3 linked regions of the Yarrowia lipolytica genome follow. The protein of the gene in region 2 purifies or fractionates together with the protein of the main gene of each other region. This does not show direct contact. Links are inferred from orthologs where the notes say so. Each region holds a gene or a part of one and is shown on either strand. Other genes may lie near its edges.

Region 1 (3,684 bases), on a different chromosome or scaffold from region 2:
CGCCCTACATGCACGAGCTGGTTCTGCGAAACGAGTACTCCATCATCAAACGAGTCGTATACTGCCATGGAGTTCTTCAAGGTGTTCAGTCTGGAACCATGGGCGGTCTGGGCTGTTACTTTGGCCAGTCAAACGAGTGCAACTTTTCAGGACCACTAGTAGGAACAACGCAAACCAAAACTCGGGTGGCATACGCAGCTGTGCTCCAGGCTCTCAAGATCATCTCGTACAGAAGAGAGCACTATCTGTGGCAGATCAGAAGCACCAGTGCTGGAATTCCCAAAACAATTGCACAAGCCAGACAAGTCTGGAGAACTTCTCAGTGGCACAACAGTAAAATTGTCCCAGAAGAAGGGAAAGATGTGCTGGAAGCGATAATGACACTGTTGGACCGCTTCATAATCACGGTCGAAATCAATTGCCTGCTGGATTTTGGACCCGTAGAGAGACAGGCATCTAGTATCCATGCTGTAGAGAAGCTGGCTATGGATGGCGTCTACGAGCCTGTCTTCTACATGCCTGAAGGGAATTGACCATGTAAACTATATAAATATCTCAATATATATCTACTCATGGTTCTACAGATCATATCCTCACTAGTTATCATCATCTACAATTAAGATCTATGTTCATACATCTACCACCTTACTTCTCAGCACCACTCAGTCGAACAGCAGCACCGTACTTTTGCAGCTTGGTCAACAGAGCGTCTCCCTGCTTAATCAGAGCCTGGTACTGGGCGTTCTTGGAGTCGGGTCGGTTGCTCTCAATGATACCGTTGACCCGGTCAATCACACAGTTGAGCTTGTTCTGAGAAATAAACTTAGAGAGGTCGTTGTCCAGAAACTGGGACGACACTCCAAATGCATTGGCCATGCTCTTGAGAGACAGCGTTTTGTAAGACTCCAGAAGCTGTGCGTAGGCCTTTCGTCGCATCTCCCGCACGTAGAAGGCTCTGTGGGGTGCCAGGTACTTTGATGGTCGCAGAGACTGGGTCTCAAGCTGGGCCAGAGAGGTGAACAGCACAGAGTACTCAGCAGTGTACAGCGAGTTGGTGAGAGTGGCAATGGGACCAAGAGCAGGGGTGGTGGGCAGCAAAGACAGCACCTCGGGTGAGTCGATGATCTTTCGCTTCAGATCGACTCGATCCAGAGCCACAGCTCCAGCAATGATAGCATACTCCACAATCTCCTCGTAGGAGGCGATTTCAACAGAGGTGAAGGTAGACAAAGAGTCAATGAGACACGAGGAAGCCTCCTCGAACTTTCGGATTGACAGACAGTGCAGGCCCCAGTATGTCTTGTACTTGTTTCGTCGCTCCCAGTCTCCTCCTCGTTCGATAAGCACTTTAACGGCCTCCAGTTCTCGGCCCACAAAGGCGCAATCGAGGTAGAAGAAGCCCAGGCGCACAATGGTGAATAGGATGTCGATCTTGGCACCAGTAGAGGTGGTCTCTGCGGCCTTTCGCAGGGTCAGGATGGCGTTGAACCGGTCGCCAATCTCGGCGTAGTACTCTCCAAGCTTGACTCGGGCCTGCAGCAGCTCCAGTTCTCCGCCGTCGTCCTTCTCCACCTGGGCAATGGCTTCTCTCAGCTCGGCCACGCGTGCGTCATTGGCTGCCACCATCTTGTCGTACTTGGCTTTGGAGAAAGCAGGCACGGACTGAGCCAACGACTCGGACGGAGTGTTGGCAGGCACGATGATCTGTGTGATGGGCTGCGGCTTGCTATCCACAATCTTCTCCTCCACCTCCTCCACGGTCTTGCCATCGGCCACCTCGGCCTTGACCTCCTCCATATCAACGTCCTCGGAGGGGCTCTCTCCCTCGTGGCCAATCTGGCCCTGCTGGTCTTCGGGAACATCCACCACGACGCCTCCAGACGTTTCTGTGCTCTGGCTCTGGTCAAAGTTGTAAAGCGACTTGTAGACGCCAGCGAGGTTGCGATCAAAGATGGCCGTCATGAGGGCCTCCTTGGCCTCGGGATGAAGGTCCTTGAGCGACGGGTTTCGCAGCACAAACAGATGCTTGCTGAGCTCGTAGTCGGGGATGGCTTTTTTCTCTTCTGTCATTGCAATGTACCAGTGGTTGTAGTGTGTTGCGGGTTGAGAGGTTCGTGATACGTGCTGTGTGATGTGGTGGTTGATGTGGTGGTAAAGTTTGGGATCATTAGGTAATATGATGATGGTGGTGGGTGGCGTTGGGTGGCAACTAACGGAGGTGAATGGTGGTCATAATTGCAAGTAAAATCTGTTTGATAGACTCAATTGGCGGCATCAACTTCATTTTAAAGGAGGTTTTAAATTTATACAATTTTTATTCGAATTATTTTGAAAATTTCCCTCTCTGCTAAATCCATGGTTAAAGTGGTTCGTGCGATGGTGCGTGTGTTGATCTGGTAGTATTATTCAAGTGGGAGAAATAGGGCGCACTCAAACTTGTTCAACACTCTCAAGAAGATCAGAAGCAACACTGTACAAGGAAATGAAAAAGATGTCTTTGAAAAGAGACATACAGTCAGTAATATGAACAATTTCCCCTTATATACGCCCAATGACTAATCAATATGCTCCCTGAACTGACTTGTTTCCTGAATTGATTGAGGGCTGAGGTTAGCTACAGTATGTACGATCATTACCATAGTGCGAACAGCCCTGACGGCACAGTTGGCCCCATTATAACACCAGAAAAAGAGCAATTGCCCTGACACTCTCTCAGTTATCCCCACCTTTACATTCTCTTCAGTGGGGTAATAATAAGTATGTCAAACTTGATTTTGCGTGGTGCAATATGTAAGGGTGTAATGGTATGAGGGGTGGGTATGTAGACAAACTACTTGTAGAAGTACAATATGTACTGTACTTACATACTGGAAACTTGTATAGAAGGTGGGTCATTCCAATTGAGACGAAGACAACATATAGAAGACATTTGCACTATACACAGGCTTCTATCACACATATATCAGTCATTATACCGGTTATTATACTCTACGACTGTATAGCTGTTCAAGATAGGAGCATCCCATCCAGCCTCGTTCGAGACTCTTCTAGACTTCGAGACCTGCAACAAAAAAAGGTGTGGGGTGGGGGGATGACGGGTGGGGGGGGGGGAAGGACATCGGACCGTTCCATCATGGAATAATGTTAGCAGGGTGTAAAAATATCACAATTCCAGACCCTAAGAGTATCGTATCGTAATCGTGCCAGAGACTTACTGTAGTCTACCTCGGTTTTACCTTCTCTCCGTAGCTTGTACCTGCAGTGGAATCCACCTTAGTGAGGGTAGAGTGTAATGGAGGGGAGAGCATGGAGCAGAAACGGTTCGATGCTTCAAGTTCGAGTACAAGTGCACAGTGATGTTGCAACACAGTCACCACTGCCTGAGTCACTCTGGCTGCCTATCAGGATGTACTCTCACACATCTCACGTTCGGCTCACCTCTTCTTTGTCAAGGCATAAAGTTCTTAGACCATTGTGACTACGCAGTTTGCTCCGAAAAGATGCATGATCCCACCCACTTGCGCCTGGAACCGGTGGACGTGTGCTACCAGCAGGACGTGTATGGCACGCGATTTATTGTTGAGTACCAAAATAGTACTTGTAGAACGTATTCCAATTCACCTTTGGCTTCACCGTTGTTGTGACCCGAGCTACTGTACTTCCTGTACTTCCAATCTAGGCCTA
Region 2 (3,635 bases):
GTCAGGCATCCACTCGGTGCCCAGCATGAATCATGTCCATGTCCATGTTATGACGACAGATCTGTCTTCTCCCCGGCTCAAGAACCGCACACACTTCAACTCGTTCAGGACTGGCTTTTTTGTGCCATTCAGAACGATCCCGGATCTGAAAGTCCCAAGTCTTGACGCCTGGATGGTCTCACAGGAGAAACTCATCAAGGGGGACATTGTGGTGGATGGAGAGAACTTTGGGAACAAGTTTGCAAAGGCCAAGAGAAGACTGGATGAGGATTTCCACAAAGCCACGATTCACGGTATTCCAGAGGAGGTGGAGGATGATGATTATAGGGTGATGGAGATGATCTCTTAAGAGACAAGTGGCCATAGATAACGAAGGACATTCATATGGAAATTGATGACATTATAACGAAAGCATGCTCATGATACAAGTAGCAACCAGGTCGTTTTCTCTCAGTACGATCTCGATGGAGTGTAATAGTTGACAACGTAGCTGAACATGGCAACATCGTGATAAACTCATTATCAGTATACATCATATGCCACAGCTGAAACATAATAGTGCTTTGGCACTACAGGCAAACTACACTCTCACTTGCGATTAAATGCTTAACTAGTCTACTACAACTTCTCGTACTCGAGCTTACCCTCCAGCTTCTTGTTCTCGGACACCTTTCTGCAGGCCTTGAGCAGATCGTTCTGAACAATGTAGTCCCGATCGTCTCGGATGGCAAAGAAGCCAGCCTCGGTGACCACGTTTCGGATATCTGCTCCGTTGAAACCGTCGCTCATCTTGACCAGGGCCTCGTAATCGATTTCGCCCTGCTTCTGAACGCCAGCAGCGTGGATCTTAAACACCTCCAGACGGCCGGCCTCGTTGGGCAGTGGGATCTCGATCTTTCGGTCCAGACGGCCTGCTCGCAGCAGGGCGGGGTCCAGAGTATCGGGCCGGTTGGTGGCCATGATGACCTTGGTCTTTCCGAGATAGTCGAAACCATCCATCTGGTTCAGCAGCTCCATGAGCGTTCGCTGGATTTCTCGGTCGGAGGAGGTTCCCTCGGAAAATCGACGTCCTCCAATGGCGTCCACCTCGTCCATGAAGATGATACAGGGCTCGTGTTCCTTGGCGTATCCGAACATTTCTCGAATCAGACGGGCAGACTCTCCAATGTACTTGTCGACGATAGCTGAGGCGGGCGAGAAGATGAAGTTTGCGCCAATAGTGGCGGCCACGGCCTTGGCCAGCAGGGTCTTTCCTGTTCCGGGAGGGCCGTACAGAAGCACACCCTTGGGAGGCTTGATTCCGACTCGCAAAAACAGCTCGGGGTTCTTCAGAGGCAGCTCAATGACCTCTCTGAGTTCACGGATCTGCTCGTTGAGGCCACCGATACCGGAGAAGGTCAGCTCTCCAGGCTCAAACGTGGTCATGTTGTAGACAAGAGGATCGACCTCTCGGGGAAGAATTCGCATGATAGTCAGAGTGGTCATATCCAGAGACACACGCACACCCTGCAGCAGCTTCTCCTTCTTGATGCTGGACCGACAGCCCACAATGTATCGGGGGCCGTTGGAGGCTTTGACGATGAACCGCTCCTCATCCAGCTGCTTAAGAACCTCGCCAATCAGCTGGCCTACCGACTGTAGCGCCTTGATGTCGTCCTCGGTCTTGTCGAATTTGCGCTCGAGGTCTCTGATGCCCAGTCGCAAGTCCTTGAGCTTGACCTCGTACTCTCGATGCTCCTTGAGTTTTCTCTTGAACGACTCGATCGCCTTTTCCCGCTCGGGATCTGTGGGTGTGGCAGCCACCTCGGGCGCCTCCTGGTTGAGAGCTGCGAGCAGCGGGTCGTTTTCCATGTTGTGTGTGTTGTGGTGTGTTGTACTGATGTAGTAACTGGAGCGTTGAGGTTCTAATATGTGAAGTGGTGATGCACCTCCCAATATTAGTGTTTGGTAGAAGAGTGGCGTATGGTGGCGAGGTGAGTGAAGGTGAGAGTACAGTAATGACAAATATAGACAGAATATCGGGGAATAAATGATCATCAATCGCTTTTATATTCCTCACTTATTGCTCTCAATATCCCCATTACTCCACAACTACTCTAAAACCTCGTATTCTGACACCTTCCACAGGATTACGTGAGGTAACAGAGTCTGGATGGGTATGGGTGGACCCATTCGCTCTTGGTGGTTATGCAACCACAGATCTAGTAGAGGTACCCGTAGTTGATGTGCTGTAATATAGACACAATGACAAATCCATAAATAAAGTGAGAAACCCCATTGAGGAGAAAGAGGTGTACATCTAATTATTGATTACATAAGCGTATAAGTAACTTAACCAAATTGTCACATTACTTCACCCAACAGTTGAACTATCTTTCATTTTACTTCAGAATGACTTTGAATATAGGTCTATCCAACTCTACCAATATAGATCCCACATATAATCTGAAAAGTGCATTCTTCTTGTAATTTCTCAGACAATCTGCTTCCATCATTATCTTATCGATAGGATATCTCCACATCTTGTTACAGACACCGCCATCCCCGTCAAATAAACTCCGATGCAAGCTCCATGTGCAGTGAAATTTATTAGCATTGAAAAGAAGCACATAAAAGATCACATAAAGCACACACCACCACCACTCTGTGCTAAATCTCCTCTGCTACAATGGGAGCCGACTTCAAAGTGTTCATTCTGTGCGGCCAGGGCAAAAACATGGCACCTCTCTCGTCCGTGAGAGCGTCTGGAGTGCCCAAGGCCCTTCTTCCCATGGCCAACGTGCCTGTGATCGACTACACCCTCAAATGGTGTGAGACCATCCCCAACCCCAAGGTGTTTGTGTGCTGTTCTACAGCTGACGAGGCGGAGATTTCCGCCTACGTGGACTCTTTCAAGGCTGAGCACTCCACCTCAGTTGTGGCTTCCAACGTGACTATCTGTTCCAAGACCGATGCGAAGTCTGGAGACTTCATTCTGGAGCTGACTCGAGGGGAACCCTCTGATTTCATTGTGGTTTGCTGCGATTTTATCACAGACATTCCCGCCAGCTCGCTGGTCGACACCTACCGAAGCCGAGACTCGGACTCGCTTCTCACAGCCTTCTACTACCCCAATACCCTGGAGAACGTGGACAAGAAGTCATTGCTCAAGGACGTGACGGTGCACTCATCGCTGGACTCGCGAACCCCGCGGCTGCTGGACTCGTATTCGCGTGACTACATTGAGAACAAGAAGACCATGCCCATCCGCCGATCCATGCTGTGGCACTTCCCTAAGTCTTTGGTCTCCACACAGCTGCTCAATGCGTCCGTCTACTTCTGCACTGCCGACGTGTGTAGAGTCATCACCGAGACTCAGGCTGCCCCTGAGGAGGATTCCACAGACGAAGATCCCGACACCCGATCTTCGTCGCCTGTCAGACAAGAACAGGAGGAGGCACACACCATTCTGGCCAAAGGCCGACAGTGGGACCGAGTGGTTCGAGACATTGCCCGACGGTCGTGGGCACATGCGAAGCCGCTCAAGTCTGTGTCTCTGTGCGTTCTGGACTCCAATACCTTTGCACGAGCAAACAACCTGTCTGCATACATGGAAATGAACCGAGTGATTCTGAAGGCAAGAGCCAAGGCCAACG
Region 3 (3,179 bases), on a different chromosome or scaffold from region 2:
CTGAGGAGAACGTGACACACAAATCAACAGCAACTAGCATAACCAAAGAACTTGGATGCGCAATTGAACAACTGGAAACAAACAACTATACAGTAGTTGTTACTGCACCATCATTGTTCACTGCATCATCAGCATTACTAACCACCAGCAACCACACACCATACTTCTCTCGTCATGATCGTTGTTGACCCATATTATTGCCAGCACCATAACAGATTTTTTACCCGCGAGGAACTCGAAGAACACCAGAAGGCATGCAATGGACCATACTTCATGTCCAAGGAATTCCGGCGGCCTCCGGAGGTTGGAACGCCTTAACTAACAGATACATAGCTGCCCAGACTGTCGCCGACACATACTGCAGTACAGTACCTGTACTTGTAACATAGTGCACGTCATCAGTTTCTACTGCTGTTACCGTCTTAACATAAAAATATAATAGTTATAATCTACCAATTGCGATCTTGTAGGAAGCTCAATGCTCAGCACAAACCGCCAGTTTCTCAATGACCTCGTCCATTCATTTAGATGCGCTCATTGATCCCGCTATGCTCAATCAACAATACTGATTAAGCAGCGATCTCTCCCTGCTGGACCTCCAGCTCCTCAGTCACCTCAGCTTCTGGGTACTCGTCGGGGTAGACCAGAGCAGAGACGTCTCGAATGCCATCCTTGTCCACGACCTTGACGTAGACGCCCTTGAAATCCACGGGCAGACGGGTCTGCAGCTCCTTGATGCACATTCTCATGAGGACCACTCCCTCCTCCTGGGTCATACCCTCCTTCCAGTGTCGGTCCAGTAGCGACATTGTGTAATAAGCGGCGTAGCCGTGAGCGGCATAAGGCAACTCCACGTTGGAGGCTAGGTAATCGATGAGATTGAGGGTGGGCTTTTCAGTCTTGGGATCAAATCCGGCAATCAGGACGTTGACCTGATAGGGCTTTCGTGATCGCAGGGCCTTAGCCAGCTGGTTTCGAGTGAAGGAGGCGACGGCAGAAGGAGACAGCTCAATGTCGTGTCGGATGCCGTACAGTCGAGTGTTGGCCATGATGTACTCGGCAAACTGGACTGTGTCTCCTGCCTCTCCGGTGTAGGCCATCAGAGTGTTGGGGTTGAGTTCTCTGGTCTTGTCGTCACCGACCTTGATGACGGAAATACCTCGGGTGGCAGCCTTGGAAGTGGCAACCAGCACTCCGCCCTTGATTCGCAGTCCCAGAACGATATCCATCTTGTGATTGTGTAGTGTGGTGTTGGATGGGTCTCAGAGAGTCAGTAGTGATGCAGATACACAAGGTGGCAAGGTTAGGTGGCGTCACGTGCAGGTGGCGGTTATGAAGTGCTATTGGTACCAGTACTTAGTCCAATGGGATGGAATGACCGGGTCTGATCAATGATTAATGATAAGGGCAAAAGATTGATTGACGATAGTTGTTTGAGATGGAGACACTTGCTTGGAGTCGTGTGTCTTTGTTGTCGTTGGGTGTGCTGATTAGTAAGCTGATTTGAGTGGTACCAGGCTGATTGTAGGGGTTATGCTGAAGCGATTGCAATAACACATTTGAGGTGAAACTAGTCCACCTATTAGTTCATATCAATGATTTCTTGTCTGTCTATAATGACATCCAATGACAAGTTTAGCTAGCTGCTGTAATTAATTGAGGTGTTCTACTTTTCGGAGAACAAAATGTCTCCATTGTTCCCAATTACATTCATAACAAATTGGATAACTAAAGAATGGAGTTAGTTGAACATTATTTGGGGTTGAACAGTTGGTCAAATAGTGGAAAAGGAAATAAAAGGGCAGGTTTTCAATGCTTACAGGTATTTTGGTTTCATTTTCTGTCTTAATCATGTACGGTATGGCTATGTTCAAAGCCACAGGGCACTTTTGTTGCAAATCTCGATTCAAACAATATTTCGCGCAACTGACGTCAAAGGGGATATATAAACGAGAAACAAAAACGAGAAGCTACACGGGGAGTAAAGGGACGCGAAGATGGGGATTGAAAATTTCAGTGATCACTCGTCATATCTCTGTCGATGCCATCACTCACGTTATGCCGATGATACCGTATGTACAGTGGGTACTGTAGCTGGCGTCATGCGTCATGGATAGCTACCTCATTATTCCCTCCGTCATGTCCGAACAGTCGCTGTAAGAGACATTTGTGTGGCAGAGATCGATGTGATACCTTCAACACGAGCTCGAGGAGCTTGTAGGTTGTATAACGAGCTCCAGTGTCGAAGTTGCAATGTGAACAGGGCAAGGAGTTACATAGACCACTGTACAGAACCACACGATGCTATTAAAGAAAGTAGCATCTTTGGCAAGCTCACTCATAGAATTATACAACTATCTGTAACCATCTATTGTTTTTATTCATGCTTACACTATCAGAGGGAGAATAGTGCAACACTTGACACTGACAAACCATACAGACTCATGCAGAGTGAACATCTGCAAGGCTCTCTGAGAATATAGGATTGGATGAACCTCACAGATATAGACACAGTAGGGAAGAGAACAGTCAAGCATCTTACCGTACAAATAGGACTGGCAATTAACCAAACCTGCATCCCTCTCATTTAGTCTCAGTGGAACATTCACAGTATTGTTTTCATGCGATCACTCTCAGCCAGCATCCACTCGTCGCAGTCCCCTATGCCTAATAGAAGGAAATATCCTTGGAAAAGTCCATCTTTTACAGACAACGGTAGCTTTATAATAAATATAACCGTTTTAGTAAGTAGTATATGTATATATCAGCAATATCTTTTTGATCCTCAATGTACAGTATGATGGATATCTCCCCATGTCTTATTTGTCATTTATAATACCCCCCAACTCTAATCACGTCTTTCGCAACGCGTGGAGTTAAATTGATTCCCAACTTGGAGAGACGCGTTTAGCATCGTACTGCACCTTCATTTTTTTTGTCCTCTACAGTTGACATCTCAAATCGGCACACCTACCCCACGCAACATATACTACAGCTCAAATGACAGTATCCGAGCCCTCTTCGCCCGTATCGACCGCGGAGCCCCCAACTGACATCACTGTGCCACCTTCATCTTCTCCACGACTTCCACAGCAGGGGCTGTATGATGCTATCATGAACGATGTCATGGAACAAATTGAGGAGCCTCTTCCTGAGATTCCAGAGACGCGACAACCCGA

What was found.
Region 1: the proteins of YALI1_E25866g (region 2) and YALI1_B29108g purify together in Saccharomyces cerevisiae (affinity purification with mass spectrometry; 3 studies listed by BioGRID, with this or other methods). This does not show direct contact. The link is inferred for Yarrowia lipolytica from reciprocal best matches to the Saccharomyces cerevisiae genes RPT4 and RPN7.
Region 3: the proteins of YALI1_E25866g (region 2) and YALI1_B15092g purify together in Saccharomyces cerevisiae (affinity purification with mass spectrometry; 5 studies listed by BioGRID, with this or other methods). This does not show direct contact. The link is inferred for Yarrowia lipolytica from reciprocal best matches to the Saccharomyces cerevisiae genes RPT4 and PRE1.

What each region holds. Positions count from the first base shown.
Region 1 is NC_090771.1:2,908,709-2,912,392, forward strand, and holds YALI1_B29108g (uncharacterized protein), read right to left. Parts: upstream 2,071-3,684; coding exon 646-2,070; downstream 1-645. Other genes in the region: YALI1_B29080g (uncharacterized protein), read left to right, coding at 1-533. UniProt on the Saccharomyces cerevisiae protein: Component of the 19S cap proteasome complex which acts as a regulatory subunit of the 26S proteasome, involved in the ATP-dependent degradation of ubiquitinated proteins.
Region 2 is NC_090774.1:2,584,988-2,588,622, reverse strand, and holds YALI1_E25866g (uncharacterized protein), read right to left. Parts: upstream 2,038-3,635; coding exon 619-2,037; downstream 1-618. Other genes in the region: YALI1_E25889g (uncharacterized protein), read left to right, coding at 1-349; YALI1_E25859g (uncharacterized protein), read left to right, coding at 2,669-3,635. UniProt on the Saccharomyces cerevisiae protein: The 26S proteasome is involved in the ATP-dependent degradation of ubiquitinated proteins. The regulatory (or ATPase) complex confers ATP dependency and substrate specificity to the 26S complex.
Region 3 is NC_090771.1:1,507,974-1,511,152, forward strand, and holds YALI1_B15092g (uncharacterized protein), read right to left. Parts: upstream 1,230-3,179; coding exon 570-1,229; downstream 1-569. Other genes in the region: YALI1_B15109g (uncharacterized protein), read left to right, coding at 3,001-3,179. UniProt on the Saccharomyces cerevisiae protein: Non-catalytic component of the proteasome which degrades poly-ubiquitinated proteins in the cytoplasm and in the nucleus. It is essential for the regulated turnover of proteins and for the removal of misfolded proteins.